7 linked regions of the Tribolium castaneum genome follow. The protein of the gene in region 3 purifies or fractionates together with the protein of the main gene of each other region. This does not show direct contact. Links are inferred from orthologs where the notes say so. Each region holds a gene or a part of one and is shown on either strand. Other genes may lie near its edges. The genes, in order: Phf5a, Sf3b6, Sf3b2, splicing factor 45, U2A, U2 snRNP-associated SURP motif-containing protein and dnaJ homolog subfamily C member 8.

What was found.
Region 1: the proteins of Sf3b2 (region 3) and Phf5a purify together in Homo sapiens (affinity purification with mass spectrometry; 4 studies listed by BioGRID and IntAct, with this or other methods). This does not show direct contact. The link is inferred for Tribolium castaneum from reciprocal best matches to the Homo sapiens genes SF3B2 and PHF5A.
Region 2: the proteins of Sf3b2 (region 3) and Sf3b6 fractionate together in Homo sapiens (co-fractionation; 5 studies listed by BioGRID and IntAct, with this or other methods). This does not show direct contact. The link is inferred for Tribolium castaneum from reciprocal best matches to the Homo sapiens genes SF3B2 and SF3B6.
Region 4: the proteins of Sf3b2 (region 3) and splicing factor 45 purify together in Homo sapiens (co-immunoprecipitation; 4 studies listed by BioGRID and IntAct, counting the BioPlex papers as one, with this or other methods). This does not show direct contact. The link is inferred for Tribolium castaneum from reciprocal best matches to the Homo sapiens genes SF3B2 and RBM17.
Region 5: the proteins of Sf3b2 (region 3) and U2A purify together in Homo sapiens (affinity purification with mass spectrometry; 5 studies listed by BioGRID and IntAct, counting the BioPlex papers as one, with this or other methods). This does not show direct contact. The link is inferred for Tribolium castaneum from reciprocal best matches to the Homo sapiens genes SF3B2 and SNRPA1.
Region 6: the proteins of Sf3b2 (region 3) and U2 snRNP-associated SURP motif-containing protein purify together in Homo sapiens (affinity purification with mass spectrometry; 3 studies listed by BioGRID and IntAct, with this or other methods). This does not show direct contact. The link is inferred for Tribolium castaneum from reciprocal best matches to the Homo sapiens genes SF3B2 and U2SURP.
Region 7: the proteins of Sf3b2 (region 3) and dnaJ homolog subfamily C member 8 purify together in Homo sapiens (affinity purification with mass spectrometry; 3 studies listed by BioGRID and IntAct, with this or other methods). This does not show direct contact. The link is inferred for Tribolium castaneum from reciprocal best matches to the Homo sapiens genes SF3B2 and DNAJC8.

What each region holds. Positions count from the first base shown.
Region 1 is NC_087395.1:6,324,863-6,327,394, forward strand, and holds Phf5a (PHD finger-like domain-containing protein 5A), read right to left. Parts: upstream 1,084-2,532; 5' UTR 931-1,083; intron 890-930; exon of another isoform or gene 882-889; 5' UTR 871-881; coding exon 538-870; 3' UTR 501-537; downstream 1-500. Other genes in the region: uncharacterized protein LOC655475, read left to right, coding at 1,306-1,354, 1,402-1,605, 1,653-1,879.
Region 2 is NC_087395.1:21,527,768-21,530,285, reverse strand, and holds Sf3b6 (splicing factor 3B subunit 6), read right to left. Parts: upstream 1,102-2,518; 5' UTR 973-1,101; coding exon 943-972; intron 892-942; coding exon 556-891; 3' UTR 501-555; downstream 1-500. Other genes in the region: mutS protein homolog 5, read right to left, coding at 1,118-1,591, 1,632-2,179, 2,225-2,270, 2,318-2,508.
Region 3 is NC_087396.1:14,198,314-14,202,528, forward strand, and holds the start of Sf3b2 (splicing factor 3B subunit 2), read right to left. Parts: upstream 2,801-4,215; 5' UTR 2,654-2,800; intron 2,530-2,653; 5' UTR 2,495-2,529; coding exon 2,395-2,494; intron 2,344-2,394; coding exon 2,117-2,343; intron 2,065-2,116; coding exon 1,883-2,064; intron 1,832-1,882; coding exon 1,630-1,831; intron 1,577-1,629; coding exon 1,400-1,576; intron 827-1,399; coding exon 594-826; intron 457-593; coding exon 102-456; intron 48-101; coding exon 1-47. Other genes in the region: uncharacterized protein LOC103313715, read left to right, coding at 3,167-4,215. UniProt on the Homo sapiens protein: Component of the 17S U2 SnRNP complex of the spliceosome, a large ribonucleoprotein complex that removes introns from transcribed pre-mRNAs.
Region 4 is NC_087398.1:1,436,826-1,439,862, reverse strand, and holds splicing factor 45, read right to left. Parts: upstream 1,849-3,037; 5' UTR 1,718-1,848; coding exon 554-1,717; 3' UTR 501-553; downstream 1-500. Other genes in the region: zinc finger protein OZF, read left to right, coding at 1-119; mRpS22 (small ribosomal subunit protein mS22), read left to right, coding at 2,032-2,158, 2,216-3,037. UniProt on the Homo sapiens protein: Splice factor that binds to the single-stranded 3'AG at the exon/intron border and promotes its utilization in the second catalytic step. Involved in the regulation of alternative splicing and the utilization of cryptic splice sites.
Region 5 is NC_087395.1:21,925,022-21,927,936, reverse strand, and holds U2A (U2 small nuclear ribonucleoprotein A'), read right to left. Parts: upstream 1,633-2,915; 5' UTR 1,547-1,632; coding exon 1,465-1,546; intron 1,419-1,464; coding exon 1,271-1,418; intron 1,221-1,270; coding exon 868-1,220; intron 813-867; coding exon 687-812; intron 638-686; coding exon 603-637; 3' UTR 501-602; downstream 1-500. UniProt on the Homo sapiens protein: Involved in pre-mRNA splicing as component of the spliceosome. Associated with sn-RNP U2, where it contributes to the binding of stem loop IV of U2 snRNA.
Region 6 is NC_087403.1:341,258-343,927, forward strand, and holds the end of U2 snRNP-associated SURP motif-containing protein, read left to right. Parts: coding exon 1-66; intron 67-112; coding exon 113-548; intron 549-599; coding exon 600-991; intron 992-1,272; coding exon 1,273-1,527; intron 1,528-1,583; coding exon 1,584-1,646; intron 1,647-1,697; coding exon 1,698-2,043; 3' UTR 2,044-2,170; downstream 2,171-2,670. Other genes in the region: proteoglycan 4, read right to left, coding at 2,428-2,670.
Region 7 is NC_087397.1:4,880,883-4,883,997, reverse strand, and holds dnaJ homolog subfamily C member 8, read right to left. Parts: upstream 1,763-3,115; 5' UTR 1,588-1,762; coding exon 1,534-1,587; intron 1,477-1,533; coding exon 1,156-1,476; intron 1,078-1,155; coding exon 841-1,077; intron 784-840; coding exon 658-783; 3' UTR 501-657; downstream 1-500. UniProt on the Homo sapiens protein: Suppresses polyglutamine (polyQ) aggregation of ATXN3 in neuronal cells.

The sequences.
Region 1 (2,532 bases), on a different chromosome or scaffold from region 3:
ACTTATACCATTTCTAACTTTATGATAATTTTTGGTGGCTTGTTTGTTTCTAAACATTCACTAAGAACTTGATAACGATAAAATATTGTTCGCGGTAGACGAAAGTCCGTAACTGAATCTGAAGCGCACACGCGCTTTAAATAAATCCTGGACTAGTTCAGGATTAGTTCTAAAAACCTTCCGCGAACAAAGCTGATAACATATGACGCTGACACTAATAAATCCTTCAAAACATGTCAATTTTTGTCATTTTTTCGAAGACAAAAAGCCGCTGCCATTATCAAAATCATATGATGGCAGTAAAAAATATTGTAGATGGCACACATGAATATGAAATTTTGTCTATTCACAAACATTATCATACTCGGAATTGCCTCGCGCGTTAAACTACTTTTTTTCCTTGATTTTTTCATTATAGAAAACTAGGAAAACAGTGCAAAAACAAAATTAAAAAAAAGATTTTTTTTAATATGATAACAGGAAAATTGACTGACTGATAATAAATTTTATGATTTATTTTAATTACACAAAATCACATTAGCGCCGCTTAAACCCGTATTTCTTACGCTCATAGAAGAGGTCAGTCTTCGAACTACCCAGATTCACAATTTTGGGGCACCCATCCCTGTCTTTCTCCTGAATTGTGCATTCCTTACAGTAGTAAGCGTCTGAAATACCTGGACCTCCACAAATCACGCATCTGCCCTGATACGAACCGTAGTTACACTCGTCACAAATCCTCACTAAAGTGCAGGGACGCACGTACGAATCGCAAATAACGCATTTTCCGTCACACTTCTCACAGAGCCTCCCTATGGCCACCCCCGGCTGCTTGCGACAAAAAATCAAATCGGGGTGATGCTTGGCCATGCTTCAGTGATCTACAAATCTTGTTTCAACAATACTGTTATTCCAAACTCAGGAACTTACCGTAAAACGTGAGAAAACGTTGAGCTTTGTTTCGAGATTTGTTAGGTTATGTGTACAACAGTTGACAGTTGAACTGGAAGTGTCGACAGTTACGCCAGCTAGACGTTCTTATTTTCGTGTCAAATGATTAATTAATTGTCGAATTTTGATTTGAGTATTACGGAAGCACAAACTAATTTCTATATAACTTAAGAATCGTGACCACATTCAACAAATAAATAAATAAATTTAAATTTTGACACCAGACACTAGTAATTTCATTTCATCAAGTTGCTGAGTTCGTTAAGTTGGCAACACTACTATAAAAAATCAAAAAGTGATTGATTCCCTTTGAACGTTAGGCTCCAATTTGCCGAAACTGAAGCGATTTCAACAATGAATTCGATGTTTTCCTCACCCGCAATCCACGTTTTCTCCCAAGAAAGTGAGTATTTGATGTTCGGTGAAATAATCTTCAAGTGTCGTTTTTAGACGTTGGAAGTGTGGCAAAAAAGCCAAGAACCACTAACACCCTATCAAGAAAACCGTTTTTTGATCGAGCCGTGAATGCAAACACGCCTGATTTTGGCAGAAATGTGAAACCCGAGCCGCAACTGAAAAAGCCTGAGCAAAATATTGACATAGAAGATGATGACTTATTTATTTACGACACTTACTCCTTCAAGGATATGAACGGTTTTCACCGAGATTTGTGTGTGACGAAATCTGATTTCTGGTTTTAGATGATTGCGCTGCTGATAAATTAATTACTGCAAAGGAAAAATTCAACAAGCTGCGACCATGTTGTGGTTACAAGGAGTTGACTCCATCTCCAAAGTTATCACCTGTTGATTTTGATATGTTTATTAAGATTCCGAAAACTATCAAGTTTTCTGTAAAGTCTGAAGACAGTTACGACATGACCGATGAAAGTGAGCACATTTCACTGCCGGACATTGATTTTTATTAAACCCTTATAAGTGGTATTTTTGTATTGATTTATCTTAAATAAAGAGATTTGAGTTTCAAAATTTTATTGAAAATATCTTTGCTGCGAAGCTACATGTTACATCTAAGAGTATTTAAACCACATCTTCCTTGAAGTGAAGAATGTTTCTCTTGACTAATTGTCCGTAAAATAGTACTTTTCCGAAATGAATGTGTGTAATGTTGGTTGCATAATATTTGAATAAGCTCAGAAATATTAGGTAGTAATAAATTCGATTTTGATCAGTAAAAAATAATAAGTGATCAGTATTTTAATAATTTTTGCACAGTAAAAAATTTAAATGACAAGTAAACCACGCACAGTATTTTATTAAAATTTGTCCAGTACAAAAATCGTATATGCACAGTATCTTGTTCAGTTTGCACAGTTTAAATAATACACGCTCAGTAGCTAGCTTGCAGGCTAGGGCTTCGCCCCAGCGAACTAAAAGGAAACATACCCCTCCAACAATTAAACTCAAAAATGTAAAACTCAAAATGTGGAATTCCACACTCTCTACATAATTTTGAGATTCTATTATTGATTGTGCATGTATTATTTTTACTTTACCAAAGCCAGTAGATATACTAAAGTAGCGACACGGACCTTGACAGGGCAACAATAACGATTATACA
Region 2 (2,518 bases), on a different chromosome or scaffold from region 3:
GTAGAAATAATAAATGATCAGTATTTAATCCATTTTTACTCAGTAAAAAATTTAAATGACAAAACCACGCACAGTATTTTATTAAAATTTACCCAGTAAAAAAATCGTATATGCACAGTATCTAGTTTCAGTTTACACGGTTTAAATAATAAACGCTCAATAGATAGCCTGCAGGCTGGGGCTTCGCCCCATCGAACTAAAACGAAACATATCCCGCGAACGATTTTTGAGATGCTATTATCTACTGTGCATTTATTATTTTTACTGAGCATTTACTATTTTTACTGAGCATTTACTATTATTACTGTGCATTTATTATTTTAACTGTGCGTTTATTATTTTTACTGTGCGTTTATTATTTTTACTGATCAAAAATACTTGTCGTTTAAATAAAATACTGTGCATTTAATTTGTACCCATAAAAAAAAACTCTTAGCAGACTCACCCTGAATTGAAAGGGAATTTAAAGGGAGATTTAATTGCGTTAGATATAAAAATCATTCTCATTGTAATTATTTATTTAAAAAGCTTAAAATTATGTACAATACAATATGTTTACGTATTAATTCCGTATTTTGATTTCATCTTATCAATCTCTTCCTGTTTCTTCTCAATATCGGTCTTCTTGAACGCTTTACTCGCCTGATAATACAAAACCACTAAATACCGATTACAAACATTAAAGCCGGACAAATGGTCACAAGCGTTTTTTGCGTCAAAAATGTCCTCATAAACCACAAAAGCTGTGCCTCTAGTTTCCGGGGTATTACCGACGCGGATTTGCCTGATAGCCCCATATTTACCGAAAATATCGTACATTTCTTCGGCTGTTATTTTATAGGGGAGATTGCGGATGTAGAGAATTCGGTTGATTTCTGGGGGCAACCTAACCTATAAAAAAAAACATTTTTTGGGTCAAATTTTTGGTATTTAACGACTTACGTTTGCCTTTCTTTGCATAGCCAAAGCCATTGTGGCGTTTTTTTAATTTGCTTCAATGAATTAAATACAAAAACAAACTCACACAAACGTTTTTATTGACTGAACAACACGATCGCCAACGTAACACGTACCAACCCAACAATTAACAAAACTAAAGCGGGATATTCAAACACAATTATGCCTCATCTGGTTCCGGAATATTAACATCTTTTAAAAACGCAATCAACGCACTATCATTAACGGAAGCCGGATAACTCTCACAACGGACTAATGGCGTGACTGTTTTCTTTTTTTCAAACAATTCGTTTGCCCGTTTGATAATACTCGCATCCACGCCAACTTCGGCCGCAATTTTTATCGCAAAACTCCTCGAAACACCTTTCGCCACTTTATAAAGGAACAAAAGTGTCCCATTTTCCTCCGAATGTGCCATTTTCAAATATTCAACAACACCATCTTCCGGTAAAAAATCAGAAATGCTTTGGTGGTGCGTCGAGACAAGTATGTGAGGGCAGTTATTGCCTTGTTTGTGAAAGTCGGCCAGAAAGCCGACCAGTAAAGCAAGTCCATCCTCCACGGTGGTTCCCCGGCCAAACTCGTCCAATAAGATCAGAGAGTTGTGGCGCGCGTTATGAATCGCTTGCGTGGCCTAATTTACGATTAATTTTTTCGCAAAATTTTATACAGACCTGGATTGCGTCAATCATAAATGCAGATAGGCGCACGGCTGCCGATTCCGTCGCTTGCATTCTGGAATGTATGCAATGCAAAATCCCGATGTTGGCGCTCCTGGCAGGCACGTAGGAGCCAATGTGGGCAAAGTAAATAACGAGGGCTACTTCCTTCAAATACACACTTTTGCCACTGCCGTTAGGCCCCGTGATTATTTTAATGTGACTGTGGTGATTCCCCGAGCAAAAGTCATTGGGCTCGAAATTTGAGACCAGCTCGAGGAGAGGGTGACGACACTCGCGGATTTCGTGCATATTTTGGTTGTTTAAAGCAGGTCGGACGTAATTATTTTGTGCCGAGACTTTCGCTATTGCTATCAAACTAAAAATTGTGTATAATTGGGAGAAAAAATCAATAAAATCGTACGCATCAAACAGCGATAAGACTCTAAGAGGCTCTCTAATATCCTTGTTGTATTTGAGAATGAAGGAGGAAAGGCGTTGCAAAATGCGATTTTCGTGGGCGATTATTTCGGCATTAATGTCGCCAAGGTTTTCGTCCAATTCTAAATTAAAATGATAGAAAAACAATAAATTTAAATTTTTTATACCTAAACATAGTGGATTCTTGTAATGGATTGTTCCACGCAACGTGAACTACAAAATACCCAATAAGTGATAAATCGCCTTAGGAATTTTCTTACCATGAATTGAAATCCTAAATCTTTCAATTCCTCGGGATCGCAATTCGGTTTCCATTCGTTTATCGCAACCAAATGTCCCATTTCTGGTAAATACACAATGGAACATTCGTTTAAATAGTCTGGTAATTGCTCTGCTGCCACTCCGGCCGCTGCTCGAACATGTTGGGCAATGTCTTGTCGACGCAATTTTTCTAAATCATT
Region 3 (4,215 bases):
AGCTCGCCCCAGAGGGTGCGATCCACGGAAGGGTCCTCACCAATGTCCTAAACATTGATATTTGAACAAAATTCAATAAAACAATATTATAAAATACTTACATCTATGTTGGTAACATTTGTTCCAAACACATCACCGTACAATGGTTTTCCATTTTCGTCCACCGGTGGTTTTCCCCACCCACCGGCATGGTACCCAAAGGCACAACCATCAGGGATGGGGGCATTTAATCCCGGAATTTTCAAGTTGGGGTAGCTGGGTGGGGGACCATAACGTTGCATTGCAATCAACCATGGTGGGGGTACTTTATTAGCGTTAGGGCCCACAGGCATTCCTAAGGCCGTTCTTAATTCTTCTGATAAATCTCCAGGCTTTTTTTCCTTCAATCTGGTTTCAAACTCTTTGCCCTCGTAATAAAGGTCCCCATGGATGGTCATTTTGGGTTTAGTTTGCCACCTAACAATAACAATGAGATTATAAAAAAAATTCTAAATAAACAGCTGTCTATCTTTTTCAATTATTCCCAATCTCTACGAATACACAATTACAAACAATAGCAATTTTAGCTTTTATCAAAAATAAAAAAAACGTACTTGAAAAATGCGTCGTGTAATTTTTGATAATCAATATCGATTTTTCCAAGTTTGGGTCTGGTCTTTTCCCGCATTTTAGCTTTGAGTGTTTTGGATTCATCCTTATCTTGCAATGACGCACGCATTTCCATGATTCCAGTCCTTTTAATGAAATCTGGAAGATTAAAAGGTGGTTTCTCTATACCACGTTTACCTTGCAAGTACTTTCGTTTGAAACACCAATGACGTGGTACCTGAAAAACACATTATTCAGCCAATTGCTAACTCCGCATATATTTTCATCTGCTTTATTATTATGAAAAATCTGTTAAGTTTGTTCCAAAACATCACTTTTTAATAAAAAATTCAAATCCTTGCTTCTTATGCGTTCAGTAAAATGTTTAGTTTGGAACAAAGTTCGTCTAAAGAAAATAATAATTAATAATGCTACAGAATTCTATATGTGCGCAAAATTAAGAGTTTTCAAATTGGAAGTAGTGACGAAAATTATTTTTCCAAAGCTTACGACTTAATTCTATTCTTAATAATAATTTAATAAAAGGTATTCTCTTTTTTTATTAATTGTTAGTAGTTCCTGAATTTTGTTAACATTTTCGTGTTATAATAAAATTGTTACAAAGCATAATTTTTTGTGTCCCATCCGTAACTAATTATTTATAACAACTTTTAGAAGTGGCAAAATGAATTTAAATTGTTAATCCATCTTTTTTTTTTAATAAGCCATTTTTAAAATAATAGTTATGTGCCGTCCGTAATCATGGAATGGCTGCATTACTTTTAATTTTTGAGAAAATTATAATCGTTACCTGAACGGTATTTCTGTGAGCTTTCAATTGGACCAACAATTTTGGGTCCCTGGCTGTTACATCGTGCATTTCTACAACGTCTGGTCTACTGACTAGTTGTTTAAGCTCGGCGACGCTAAGTCGCGTCAATTTTTTAAGCTTTCTTTTGGACATTTTTGACTTATCGTCAAGCTTTTTCTGAAAAAAAAATAGATACATATTTTTTATTCATAATGTAATACAACACTTACGTCGTCCCCATCTTCCATTTCTTCCTGAAAGTGATCTCCTATGCTATTTAACATTGATTTACTTGACAATGATGTTGGCGTTGCCAGAACTGGGGGTGGGATATCATGCTTTTGATCAGTTATTTTAAACACGTCAAAAATGCTATAAAACTGCCGGTATTGTGGAGCCAGTTCAAGAAGACTAATCGTCTCTTGGACGTACCTTTAATTAAACTCATAACAATTTTGTCAAACAAATAGAAAAAACACCTACTCAACTTCCACATCTGTATTCCCATCCTCTTGCCCATCCTTTTTCTCCTCCTCTTCAGCCGCTTTATTCTGTTCATTCTCCCTGTTTTTCTTGTTCTTCTTCCTTTTCTTCTTCTTTTTATTCTTACTGATTTTGGTGGTCTCTTTCACCTGACTCTCTTCTTCATTTTCAACCACGGGTTCCTAAAAAAACAATCGTTATAACTATATTCATACAAAAAATTAAAAAAGCTACAATATTGTCATCTTTCTCCCAAAGCGCCTCTCTAGGAGTCTGCGGCTGTTGAACTACTGTTTCCGTTTCTTCTCGTTCTAGTTCACGCGCTCTCTGATTTTTTAACGCCAACACCTCTTCCAACACTTGAGGTAAAACAACTTCAGTTGGTGGCGTCTCCATCATCTGATCAGGAGGATCCACTTTTAGGGATAGCAATGAGGGGAGTTGTTTTTCACCACCAACACCTGAAATAGTCCAATGCGATATAAACAAACTGGTTGAAAACAATCAATTACCATGTTCACCAGCCCACCCTTGCATACCTGACCCAAACATCCCTTCCTGGTGGGGCACAGGGTGCTCCGGGACACCCTCTTGTAGCTGATCCGGATTCATTTGTCAGTAGAATCAGTGCTTGTTGCAGCCGTAAGCTGAAAGGAGACGGGATTATGGAATTGTTCTAACACTAAAAAGCACTTTTCTCAATTTGATATAACCTCTTTCTCATACTAATTTCTTAAAAAATGTTTGAATCAAAGCAAGAAGCGAACTTACTATAACAGATAGTCTGTTAAATTTTATCTACAATGAGGAAAAACCGCAAACTTTTAATATTATTAATAATTTATTGCGGCATTCAGCAACGTTTCGGTCGACATTTTTGTTTGGAATTAGAGCGAATGCGACCGTAATCGCGACAGCTCGATTTCCTGCAAAAGCGAAAACATTTCCCAAAATTTTCATACAGAATAAATCAAATGTAGTAGTTATTTATCCAGTTAGTTACAACTTTCTCTATTAACATCTTGTAAATACAATAATTTATAAATATTTAATCAATTTATTTTTCAAACAAGATGCCAATCTAATTTGGACCAATCACGCATCTCAATCTCAAATGTCAGATTCAAAAAAACGGTTTTGTTGTCGGTTTGTCATTTGTGTGCCTTGTTTACTGTAAAGTTACTATAAAAAGCGAATAATTGGATTTAACACAACGTTAAAGGTAAAAACCGAGTTTTTTTGATACGAAAATTACATAAAAATTGTTTTATAGCTTGCATTAAAATGTCAGTGAGGTCCAGCAGACGTTTAAATAAAAAACTAAATCCACCTGAAATGGAAAGCACCAGTGGCCCCTTAAGCAGTGCCAAAGCAACAAGAAGTGGACGAAAAGTCAGAAAAACGAACGATTTGCTTTTCTTCAGTTTTAATGCTTCTGCAGTGGAAAAAGAAGACGAAAATATTAAGCCAACGTCGTCAAAGCATAATAAACAGAATTTGCCTCGTTTGGAGTTCGATGAGAGCGGGAAAAGTGACAAAGGAAGCCCTTTTTTGTTCAAGGAAGTTCAAAAAATCTCGCCGCCACCTGTACCAAAAAATAAAAGAAAAATCGTCAAAGCTAAGAGAGTTCTTAGGAGTACCAAGCAATGTGAACTGGAAGACAAGTGCAATGATGAGACATTAGATCTCACTACAAAAAGTTTGAAGGAGAAATCTTCCGAAAATTCTGTAAATCTTGTGAGTGATGGTGAGGGAAGTTCACGTTTCATCACAGTCACGGAGAAAATGGCTCAAGATGGACACGTGAAAAAAGAAAATAAACATGGCAAGACACCAAAGGTCAAAAGACAGAGTGGGAAAGGAGAGTTTTCTTCGTTTAGAGACATTGAAGATTTTAAATCTCTTGAAGAACCGTCAGAAAATTGCAAGAGCGTAAATTTGAGCCCTTTAAATGAAGATGAGGGAAGTTCAAGCTACATTGAAGTCAACGAGAAGAGTACACAAGATGGACGTATTACAGAGAAAAATAGTCCTAGCAATGGTACTTTCCCCAATTTTGTTGCTTCAAGCAAGACACCAAAGACCAAAAAACAGAATTTGTCTTCTTTGGAAGCGGACGAAAGTGGGAAAGGAAAGTTTTCTTCGTTTAGGGAAATTGAAGATTCAAAATCTTTTGAAAATTGCAAGTCTGTAAACTTGAGTCCTGTGAATGAAGATGAGGGAAGTTCAAGCTACATTGAAGTGCAGGAAAAGACTACTACAGAGAAGATCAGTCCTACCATTGATTTGCCCAAATTTAATTTTGTTGCTTCAACGGCGAAAAAAGAAAAAAA
Region 4 (3,037 bases), on a different chromosome or scaffold from region 3:
TACATGTGAGGATACATACAGGGGAAAGGCCCTACACTTGCAGTATTTGTGGTATGAGTTTCACGCAAAGTAATACTCTTAACACGCATATGAAAGTGCACGCGCCAACGACAGGCTGAGGAGCAAAAATGTGTAACGAGGTGCATACGTATTTTTTTCTACTGCGAAATTGAGTGGCCATTGAGTAAAAAATAGGTCGCTTTTATTGTAAACGAACAGTATGAAGTTAAAAACAATAATGAAGTAGAAGTCATTTTTAGAATAAAATTTTTCGAAAACTAAAAAGATTCTCGAAAAATGTTATTCTTAAACGTGATCACATTTTTTTCGGACTTGATGTAGTAATTATTTTGTCCTAGGCAAGAAACGCTTAGTTCCACACATTTCATTCACGTAATGCTCACACAGGACCATTAGTTTAAAAGCGCTTGATATTAAATATGCATTTTTTTTCTATTTTTAAATGATTCATTTTGTGCATTTTATTAACAAGACAAATATTTATTTATTCCGTACATTAATTTATTTTGTAAATAAAAAACAATACAAACACTTAGTCCATCAACTGAAGATTATCGAACTTCTCAGTGTCATAAAAACTGGCCTTGACTTGCCTTCCCCCAAAGAACCTTCCATTCAAGTCCACCACTGCTTTAATCGCACTCTCTATCCTCCTAAACTCCACAAAAATCCTCACAGCCTCTTCAGGATTCTCCGCTTGAGTTTCATGAATAATTACGCTTGTAACCTCCCCATATTTCGTATTACATTCATCTTTGACTTCCGGCTCCAAATCATCGTCAACTTCACCCGGCCCTACCATATTTTTCAGTAGCACAACCTTACTGGGATTTTTAATAATTTCAGTAATGCTTTGTTGTTGTGTATTTGCTGGTGTTTCAAGAACCGGCGACGCTGTCGCTGCTGCCATAATTTCCTTCTCGTGAATAATCCTCCCGCCCCGTTTTGAAGTCTTCTCCACTTGGAGAGCACTCGCCATGCCTTGCTCCTGCTTGCCTAAACCTTGACCCTCTTTAAAGCCGTATTTCGCCATAATTTTGGCGGCCACGGAAGAGCCGAAATTGGCGGCGGGAGTTGGGGGCTTATTGGGGAAAATTGGGGCGGATTCTGCCGGTTCCTGAAGGCTGGGCGGGGGCGCAATTGCCACACCTGAAGCCCGGGGTTTGGCTTGCACAGGCTCTATTTCGTCGTCTTCTTCGGCCCATCTTCCGGCAAATCCGCTAGCAAGCGGTGGTTGTGTTATTTGTGGTGTGGGGATCACGAGCGACTCCTCAGGGTCGCTAAAACGTGACTTGCGTTTCCTCTCTCGCCGTTTTTCTTCCTTATCGTTTTCTCGTTCGCGATTTTCGCGCAATTCTTTCACGACTTTATCGAACTCATTTGGCCATAGAGGGTCGTACTCGTCGTCCACGTTCCAGTCGTATTCAATACCGTAAGTTACCGAGGAACTAAGTGTGGGGAGACTTGGCTCATTTTTAACTTTTTGATACGTTGGGTAAATGTCGTCGTCGTCCCGTTTGCTTTTCAAGTCTATCACGGGGGCTAAACTAACTTTGCGTTGTTGTTCGCGCTTTGGTTGCGTTACTGTGGCCTTTTTGAGCTGGAGTTGGGACTGGAGGAGTTTGATTCCGGAGGACCAGCCGGAGACCTTCTCCGTGGCGCGGGCCTTCACGTCCAGGTCGTCGTACAGAGACATGTCCAATTATGTTAAAATAACATCAGTTACACTCAAAATAACAAATCTGTGAACCACAAAACTAAGGTTATATTTATGCTTCTTGTCAAGTCAAGCCCAAGTTACCGAAAACTGTTTCGTCAGAAAAACGTGTGATTGCTCGCAAAAACAACAATCCTGCAAGAAATTACCACCAGTGCTTTGCTAATGAAGCGTGGTATAAAAATCTAAGTTATGGCAGAGATTATGGTGGTTTTTTTTTGCCCGTGAAAGCACGTTCGATTTGGACACCTTTCGGTGGCGGGAACAATCAGTCGCGAAACGTGTAACCCGAAATGGCCGCGTTTCGCTATTTTTCAAAAAAACTGCTCTCAAGTACATTAAAAACCGACATAAGGGCACCAGTGAGCAACAACTATGTGGTCTGCGTCCGCCTGTTGAGTTACACACCCATGCCGTACGGTATTATTGTTTAAACAAGTAATCAAAAGTTCGAGGTTAAGTGGCCACGATTTCTAGATGGGAATCCGGACCCGGGCCCCATTTTCATCAAGAAAGAAGTGCAGACCCTTCTCACGACTCTAACTCGCGTAGATTTGGCCAAAGTTTACAGGAAAAGGAAACTGGGCGGGAGACAATTAGAACAACCAGTTTACAAATTCATGACTGATGAACAACTCCAAGAGGCTTTGGATGAAGCTAAACGAAAAGTTGACGAAATCCTCCAGATACCACCAGTTGTTGCCGTACGTAAACCTCGCGATAAAGTCGTGTCGCGAGATCCAGCTTTGCAAGGTTTGGACTCCTCTAATTATATTTTTACTGATATTTCGTACGGTGTTCCCGATTCTGAGCGGATTATTCTTGTGAGGGACACTGAGGGGACGTTGAGGGACGCCGATTGGGCGACGCGCGATAGAATAAATCAAATGTATTTCCCCGTAGCTCGGAGGCAAGTTACGCCCCCGAAAATGTTCGAGGATGATAAATTAGACGATTTGTTAAAGAGGGGCGAATATAACTTTATTCTAGACAGGGCGTGCTTGCAGTTTGAGCCCAACGATGAATTCTACCAGAAAGTTTGCTCAGTTACGTACCAACACATTAACGAAAATAATAAATTTGAGGATATTAGGTCTACTAGACATTTTGGTAGTTTTGCCTTCTTTATCGCTTGGCATAAAATGATTGATAATTTATTACTTGACCTCATTGAAAGCGAGCATATTGATGAGGCCAATGCTTTGGTTGAGCTTTACGCCCAGTTACATGGGGAGAAATTTAGGGGTAATTCAATTGAGGAATATATTGGGAAATTTTCAACGAAAAAAGCGGCCCTTG
Region 5 (2,915 bases), on a different chromosome or scaffold from region 3:
TAAGTGACGCGAATTGTTATAGAAATAATTCCAAATCAACTAAAACATTCTGAAATGAAAAAATTTATTTGAACTTTGAAATATTCTAAAACCACTATTACCACACACTTTGAAAAGTATTTCGGTCACTTTAGACACAATTTCCAAGGCGCTCTTAAAATGACACGAGTAGCCACTAAAAAGTATTCGCAAGACGGTTTTGAGATAAAAACAATTTTTTATTTTTTACATGTTTACAGACAAATTTAAAATCCGCAAAATTTAAAAAACTGGTTTATTTCTGTAATTAACATTACTTTTGCTCGCTGTGAAAACTAAAAACTAATTTTCTTCGAAAAATTAGCTGCAAAACAAAATTTGTTGTTAGCTTATTTCGTTCAATTAATTTCTGAAACAGATAAATCTTGCCAGAAAGGCATTGTTTCAGTCGGGAAAGATTGAAATAATACCCAGTTATTGTACGTATTGCTTTATTAGAAAAAATGAAAAATTAATTCCGCTCGCTTCTCAACCTTGTATTTAGTGTAGTACAATACTCTTATCAACCGGAACTTATAAATAAAACTAATTAATTGTACACCTGACTGAAAATTACCTCAAACTTATTCATATTCCATACTTTGTCCATTTTGATATCCTGAAAAAAAATATTACATTTCCCACAATAAATCATAGAAAAAATTAACCGTTCATTTCTTCTTGACCAGGAATTTGACCAGACTGTAAAATCTTCTGTAACCGTTCAACCTCTTCCAAAGAACTGGCCTTATTGATAGCTTCACGAATTTTCGCAATTTCTTCGTCTGTAAGGCCTTGAAAAAATAATTAAATTGAAAAAATAAAACTCACAGAAAATGTAAGACGTACCTTTACTTTTGGCAATACTGTTACCTGTACCTCCGGGAATAAACGTCTTTGCCCTTTTCCCAATTTCTTTCCTAATCTCCTTGCCTTTCTTACTCTTAAACAGAGCCCTCGCCTCTTCCCGTTCCTTAGCTGTGACTTTACGAAAATCGAGCAACCTTAACTGCGGTAACTTATAAATTAGGTATAGCCTGTAATGCTGCTTGGAAGTGATAGGGTTATGTAAAAGACTAACTGTGGTGAGCTTCTCCAAAGTGCACAACGGCTCAATATCACCCAGCTCTTCCAAGTGGTTCCCAGTCAAAATCAGCGTCTCCAAATTAGGAATGTACTCCTCCAAATGCTCCCCAATGCGTCTAAAACCCCAAAACTCAAAAAAAAAAAACGAAAAAACCCCACAACTTACACAATACGGTTATTGTTAAAAAGCAAACATTTCAACCGCTTCAAGTACGGAAAACCATCCAACTTGCGCACATCATTGTCCGAAAAGTCAATTGTGTCGAACTGGTCACCGGTGGCCCCCAGATTTTCCACTTCGGGGATGCGATAACCTAAAAAAAGATGACTTAACCCAACTTTTTTACATTTGGTCCTCACCTCGTAAGTCCAACTCGCGGTCTTTTACCGGATTTATGTATTGCATGGAATTTTGAATCAGCTCGGCTGTTAGCTTCACCATAATTAGGTTTTAGCGAAAAATTACAATTAAACAAACAACGCACAAGCCATCAATTTCACCGACTACCGTTACAGGTTTCTGTAATTGTTACACGAATACCTGTAGAGAGCGCCCCAAACGCAATTTCCCTGAATTTCCAAAAATTTCCAAAATTAAGATGAAGCAATAAATATCAATCATTGGGACCAAATAATTAATAATTTAATTTTTGTATCAAAACATGGAATCTAAATATGAAAAAATACAGGAAAACGTCGTTAATCCGAACCCCTTCTAACCCGAAAAACAAACTTACTTTTAACTGTTAACAGCTGATAATGATAATTTGATAATATACTCCGTATGTTACATTATTGTATTTTGTAATAAAAAGTCCTGCTTCAGTTATTTATTTATTTTAATTAGGTAAGAAAAAATTAATTTCATAATCGGGAAAACCCCAAACAAAAATGGCTCGGATTCAAAGGCTTCACTATATACAAAAACACGTCTGCCAACACTTATTTCAGCGATTTGTGTTGGTCACAAATATGCTAATTCTGGCTAAAAAAAGTTGCTAAACAATAAGAAAAACACAATGAATGTGTGGAATGTACGTTTGAAGTATTATTATCTGTCGGATTCCCCGCATCGTCATTAATTAATCAAAAAATGATTTCGTGAAACGAATCAAGCCATTGTCTTCTTCACTTCCCCTTAGAGCAAAAAACAAGAGCCAAATTATTCATTGACGTCACAAATGTTTATCCAAACCGAACGGGTTTATTTCCATTGAACTTACACCAATTACGCGCCGATGAGTGATAAAACTCGTTCCATTCTTAATCTGGAAGAAAATTTCCTTGTGACTTTTCCGAGCTAATGAGACTTGAAGAATGCGCGTTTCGCGATAAGATTTATTACCACCTGATGATAATTAATTGTGAGCCGAATTGTACTTGAGGGAAAGGTTTCTCACATCACAAATTTCTGAAGGACCCACTTTAAATACGCAATGTGTAATAATTGTATAATGCCACCCACCTGAAAGAATGCAATTGTTGCCTTGTTTACTTATGCTAATTGGAATAAAAGTGCGAGTGTCTTCGGAACAGTACTGCAAATCGCCTAATTTAGCAGCGCTGCATACACAGCGTCTATAAATATCCCACTTTATTAAATAATTATGGAAATGCAGCCTGCGGTCGTTACCGAAAATATGTGAGAAGGCTGCGCTCGCTTCCGGTCGGCAGTCCTTAGGCAAGGACTTCCCCTGAGTTAAATTCCATGTTTACAAAAAGGTGAATCATAATTAGCTGCATTGTCAACTTTCGAGCCGATCGCGCTGATTTGAAATTCGTTTCAAAAAGTATTTAATAAAATAACATCA
Region 6 (2,670 bases), on a different chromosome or scaffold from region 3:
GATGCCCGATGAACTAGTGAACGACGACGAGGGTAAAGAGAGTACGAAAGGCTCCCTCTCTAACACGTACGTAACGCGTGAAAATATGCAAAAACTAAGATTTGATTTACAGGCAACGAGACCGCTTGGAAGACCTGATACGGTCCCTAACCCCCGAACGGAGCAAAATCGGCGAAGCTATGGTCTTCTGCATTGAACACAGTGACGCTGCTGAGGAAGTGGTCGAGTGTATCACCGAATCACTATCAAACTCCTCAACCCTCATCACGAAAAAAATCGCCAGACTTTACCTCGTGTCGGATATTTTGCACAACTGCGGCGTCAAAGTCAACAATGCGTCTTACTACCGCAAGGCGTTTGAGTCAAAACTTGTGGATATAATGACCGAAGTGAAGAAGTCCTACGACAAGTTGGAAGGGCGGTTGCAGGCCGAGGGTTGCAAGCTGCGCGTTTTGCGGATATTGCAGGCGTTGGACGACTCGATTTACCACAAGGATTACGTGAACAAATTACGAACCGTGTTTTTGGGTATCAAGGAACCGGTCAGGGTAAAAAAGAGTGGGGTTTTGCGGGTTAGTGTTTCACGCTTGTGTTGTTAGGAACCTAAAGAGGACCCCGCTGTTGAGTCAAATATTGATATAGACGGCGATCCGTTGCAAGACCAGCCCGAAACCGACGATGATGTGCCAATGGATGGAGCAACGTTGCTGAAAAGTGCAATGAAACGGTACAAGAACACCACGATTTCGAATGATGATATTGACGGGAAGGAAATTGTCGATGATCCGAACGATGTTGTGCTTAATCAGAAGAAACCACCCGCGCCTTTGTCCGGTTTTATTATGTCAAAGTGGGAAACAATCGACCCGGAACAAGTCGAAGCGCAAGCGATGACCACAAGCAAGTGGGACTTGCTGGGAAGTAGCGCTGATCCCAGTCAGGATGGTTCCTCAAACGACAAGGACGATTCCAATGATTATACCGACACGAGGTTACGTTTTTTGATATCTCTTCATAAATATTTTTACTGTGATCACCATATTAAAGAGTTTTTTTGTCCCTTGACGTGATAACAAAAATATTTCTAAAAAATTATTTTTGCATACCGATTTTTGGAAATACGTTTGCAAAAAATGCTTTATTATTTTCTTTATGCAAGTGATTTTTTTCTATAATTCTATAGATACATATAATTCCAATATTTAATACATTTAAATATTCCAAGTTTTAAGAGTGATTTTCTCCTTGGTCAATTTTTTGTCCCAATTTTAGAAATATGACGGAAGAAAGAAGGAACAAATTGCGAGAAATTGAAGTGAAAGCCGTACAGTACCAAGACGAATTAGAGTCAGGCCAAAGAGCTTTGAAAACCGGGTGGACCTTACCACAACAAGTGGAACACTATCGAAGAAAGTTACTAAAGAAGAGCGAGAAAGAAAGGAAGGAGAAAGACCCGAAAAGCGACAAACACAAAAAAGATGACCGGAAAGAGGACAGCTCAGAGGACGAATTATATTACAAAGAGCTGTAAGTAGAACAATTCAAACAACCGTCAACTAACAAGATCCTTACTAATTTTGTAGTAAATCTAGGAAATCAAAAAAACTTTCGCGCAGCTCGTCAAGCGGTTCCACGTCCAAACACAGGTAAAATTTTATGCTTTACATTATTTTCCCAATAACTACTGTATATCCTAGGTCGAAAAGTCGTTCGCCTCCGAGGAAGAAAGCTTTTCGAGGGCCGAGTCCGCCCAGCCCCCCTCACATCCGGCGTCAGTCGCCCTCCTCGTCCCGATCCCGCAAGTCCAAAGATTCCCTCTCTCCGATTAGTTCCTCAAATGGTAAATATGGTTCACCAGCTCGTGTGGCGAAAAGTCGGCGATCACCGTCACCTTCACGTACAAAAAGTAATCGTAGATCGACTTCTCCGCGAAATCGGAGATCTCCGTCTCCGAGAAGTCGTCGTGGGAGCACGTCACCGTACCGGTCCAGGTATCACTCGCCGGAGTCTTCAAGAAAACATCGACACAAACACAAATACTGAGAGCGATATTTTATTACGAATAATTGAGGTATTGAACACACGCTCAATAATATTGAAAGGAGTTTATTATGTTGTCTTCAATTACTTTTTTTCTTTTACAAATACAATGGATCTTTACGCCTTCGAAGTTAGCGTTGTTTTGTTTTTTTTATGTAAATCCAACACTAAATAAAAGAAATCACTTGAAAAACCGCTTTATTTTCATAGAAACACAACAAAGTATAAATCAGCAACTAGCTACTTACGCAAGTATTATAAATAAATACAAAAAGAAAACAACAAATCTATCCAAAATTAGGCATTTTTGTTACGCAATATAACTGCGTTAATATGGCACGTTAAACGAAAAAACAGGCTGTTTTGAACACTCTAAATGAAACACAATTATTTCTTCGATTTCGATTTCTTTCCACCTCCACTTCCTTTACGAGGTGGAGGAGTGGGCGATGCTACAGATGCGGCACCTTGTGCTGTTTCAGGTTTCGACTGTTTTGATTCAGGTTTGCCTTTTCCAGCTTCCGCAGGCGCAGCTGCGGCTGGAGGCGGCTGTTGTGCAACCGCAGCTGGAGCTGTCTGTGGTGTTTGTTGTTCTGCAGCTGCAACTGGCGGTGTTTGCGGTGCAGCAGG
Region 7 (3,115 bases), on a different chromosome or scaffold from region 3:
TTACCTCATCTTTCTTCTCTTTTTTCCTGGCAAGAATGCTCTAAACCTTCAGTGGTTATTGGTGGACAAATAATACTAATTAATTTAACTAATTAGAGCATTTCTTAAATGTAATACGTATTGCACTTTACATACGTAAAATTATTTTTATAGTGTTTATATATTTAAGATGTAACGTAATATGTATGTACAATAATAAAGTTATGTACAAATACGTAAGTATTTTATGGGATTTCGTTTAATAAAGTCTGTTAAATTTCTATCGTCTTTAATCTTTATTTAAAAAGATGAGTGTAATCGTTCATAGTTTTATTTCTTGTAAAAGTTAAATAGTTATGTGATTTCTTATTAAATTTAAAATAAAATTGGATGATTTGCCGATTTAAAAAACATCGAGTTCTAGGTCTTGTGCGCGCTTTAAATTAAAAATTAAATGTTAATTTAATACTTTATGGCTTGGAATTTGGGGAAATTTGAGGACGCTTACAAACACGCCAAACTTTTAGACACATCCTTTATTTTTAAAATAAAATAATTCTACAAAATATTTTAGTATAAAATAATATGATCTGTTTTGTATACACACAAGTGCATCCAGAGTAACAAATTACAACACAAATCAATGAATAAACTATCCTACATGACGTTAGTATGAAATTATCTAGATTCTGGCTTATTTTTCGGCGGTTTAAACGTTTTGATCTTTTTACTCGCTTTTTTAGTTTTTGATTTTGAATTGGCTTGGAAAGACTGCCAACTTTCAACCCGATTTTGCCTAGATTCCTGCAACAAAAATGTTATACTTGCTCAACTCATGTTAATACCAGTGGGTGTAGTTACCTCAAAATTCTTCTGCCACTCTTTTTGAGCTTTCTGATTCTCTTCTTCCTCAATTTCCTGTTCTCTTTTTCTCTTTCTCTCTTCCTGATCTCTTTCCGCTAATTCACGCCGTTTCCTTTCCATATCTGCAAACAGTTTCATTGTGAGAACATAAACGGCATGTTTGTATTTATCAGGATCATCCTCTGGGATTTTGTCTTTTCCTTCTTTTTTATATTTCTTTCGCTTCTCGGCAAGCTACAAACAATGTTAATACAAAAACGTCGTGTCTCAAGCTATTTCATCGTAAACAACACTCCACCCTCAAATACGTACCATAATGTCGGTTCTACCCTTAGCCTCCTCAATAATGTCCATGCACTTTTGCCTGGTCTCAGGATTGTTCAAGATCTTCCAGGCCTTGTTCACTGCCTCAAAAGCCTGTTGCGCCCGTTCGGCATCGTCCTGATTCTTGTCAGGATGCACCAAAAACGACAGCTTTCGGTACTGCTTCTTCACCTCCTCAATGGGGGTCTCAGGCTCAACTTGTAGCACTTCAAACGGGTTTAGGTTGAGATAGGTGGAGCCGGGGCGCAAAAGACGCTCAATTTGTTGCTTAGAAGTTAGAACAGAGTCACGTTTTTCGATTTCTTTCACCTAAAAATTGGGACAAACACAGAGTTGTCTCAAAGAAAGGCCCAACAGAGAGCTTACCTCTGTGTAGAACTCGTCGAATTTTGGGTCCTCTTTCGGGCTCTTCTCTGCCATTTTCGCGTGTTTTAACAATGTGCACTATTTTTAAGTTTGTTGTTATTTTTATGATGGAGGAATGGATCTTTTTTGACGCATTTTGAGTCTTCCGTCTATGATAATTTTCGTGAAGCTGGTGGCAGTTCTGAATTACCGACGAACAGATAGATTCCTGTACCCGGTCGTCATGAAACCCACTCCCGGCTTGAGATGTCGCCTCAATTGAATTACCAAAATATTGCGCCAAAATTTAAAATACTGCTCCGATTGTTTTTGTAAAACTTTATGAAAAAGTGATACGCTGTTGTCAAATTGCTGGAATTAGTAATTTTCATTTATGCTGCCATAACACAATGTGGATATTCTGATAAGCTCGATAAGAGTTGATATCTACACACTTAACAATATTAATGTAACTTTAGAGGTCAAATAAAAACGATGATACTGGAGGCCAGACATTCGAGGCAAATTATCGCGTTTTATTCATCATTGTCTGGTTTTGAACAAAATTACCAGCGGGTGCGGCGTTAAAACGCTGCAAAATTTTGTGTTTTCGTATGAATTATGCAAAGCGTTTTTGTTTTGCAATATTTACTTGATGCACTTTCGTTACGCTTGGAACATTATTTTTATTGGGATAGGTCGGCGAGTTTTTTGATGAATGCAACAATTATCTCAGCACGAAAGTGCATGTTTGCCGGCAAGATAGACGCAGTGGCTATTACCAAAAAGATTATTTTCTCAACAACCCTTGCAATAAACTTTACTAGTCACGGACATTAGACCAAGATAAACCTTTTATTTGAGGTAATGTGGTTTTATTTTATCGTGATAACGGAGTTATTAGACAAAAGAAAACAAGATAATTTTATTTTATTGAATATAAATTTGGGTTCGGAAGTATGGAGCGAGCCATATTTTTCCTAAGGACTTTGATTTAATTGCAATCAACTGGTCGGCGGTGGTAAATTCCACGATTACCAAATAAGAAACCAATGACGTATGTTCCAGTTTATAAATCGCTTGAACATGAAGAATCAGAGCAAGCGAGTCGGTTTTGAAAAATCGTTAAACGAAAAAAATGGTCTTTCAGTTAGTGAATTTGAAATTGAAAAGAGGCTCCAATTAGTTAGATTAGGGCAATTATATAAACTAAGCCTATTATACACTGGCGGATTCTTGTATTAATTATAGCACTACTGACACGAATATGTCTATAAGCAAACCCAAAGCTAAATAAATGCGACAAGATATTTTACTGGTCCGCAAGTGCCAAATTTTTTGTGATCATTAAAGAGAAAATAATGGATTTCCGTGTCATTTTTGATTTGATGTGTGATTTTAACAGAGTTATAATTTTAAAATGAGGAAGTTCGCTAAACGTGAAATTTAATCATGCGTGCGTTTAATTTTAGACGTGGCCTTACACATTTTCTGTTGCCAGAGGCATTATGTAGAATATAGCCTTGAAATGTGAAGGTTGTTCGTTTGAGAATCTCTTTCCACCTACGAATAACTGTTTTAATTACCTACTTCACAACGTTTT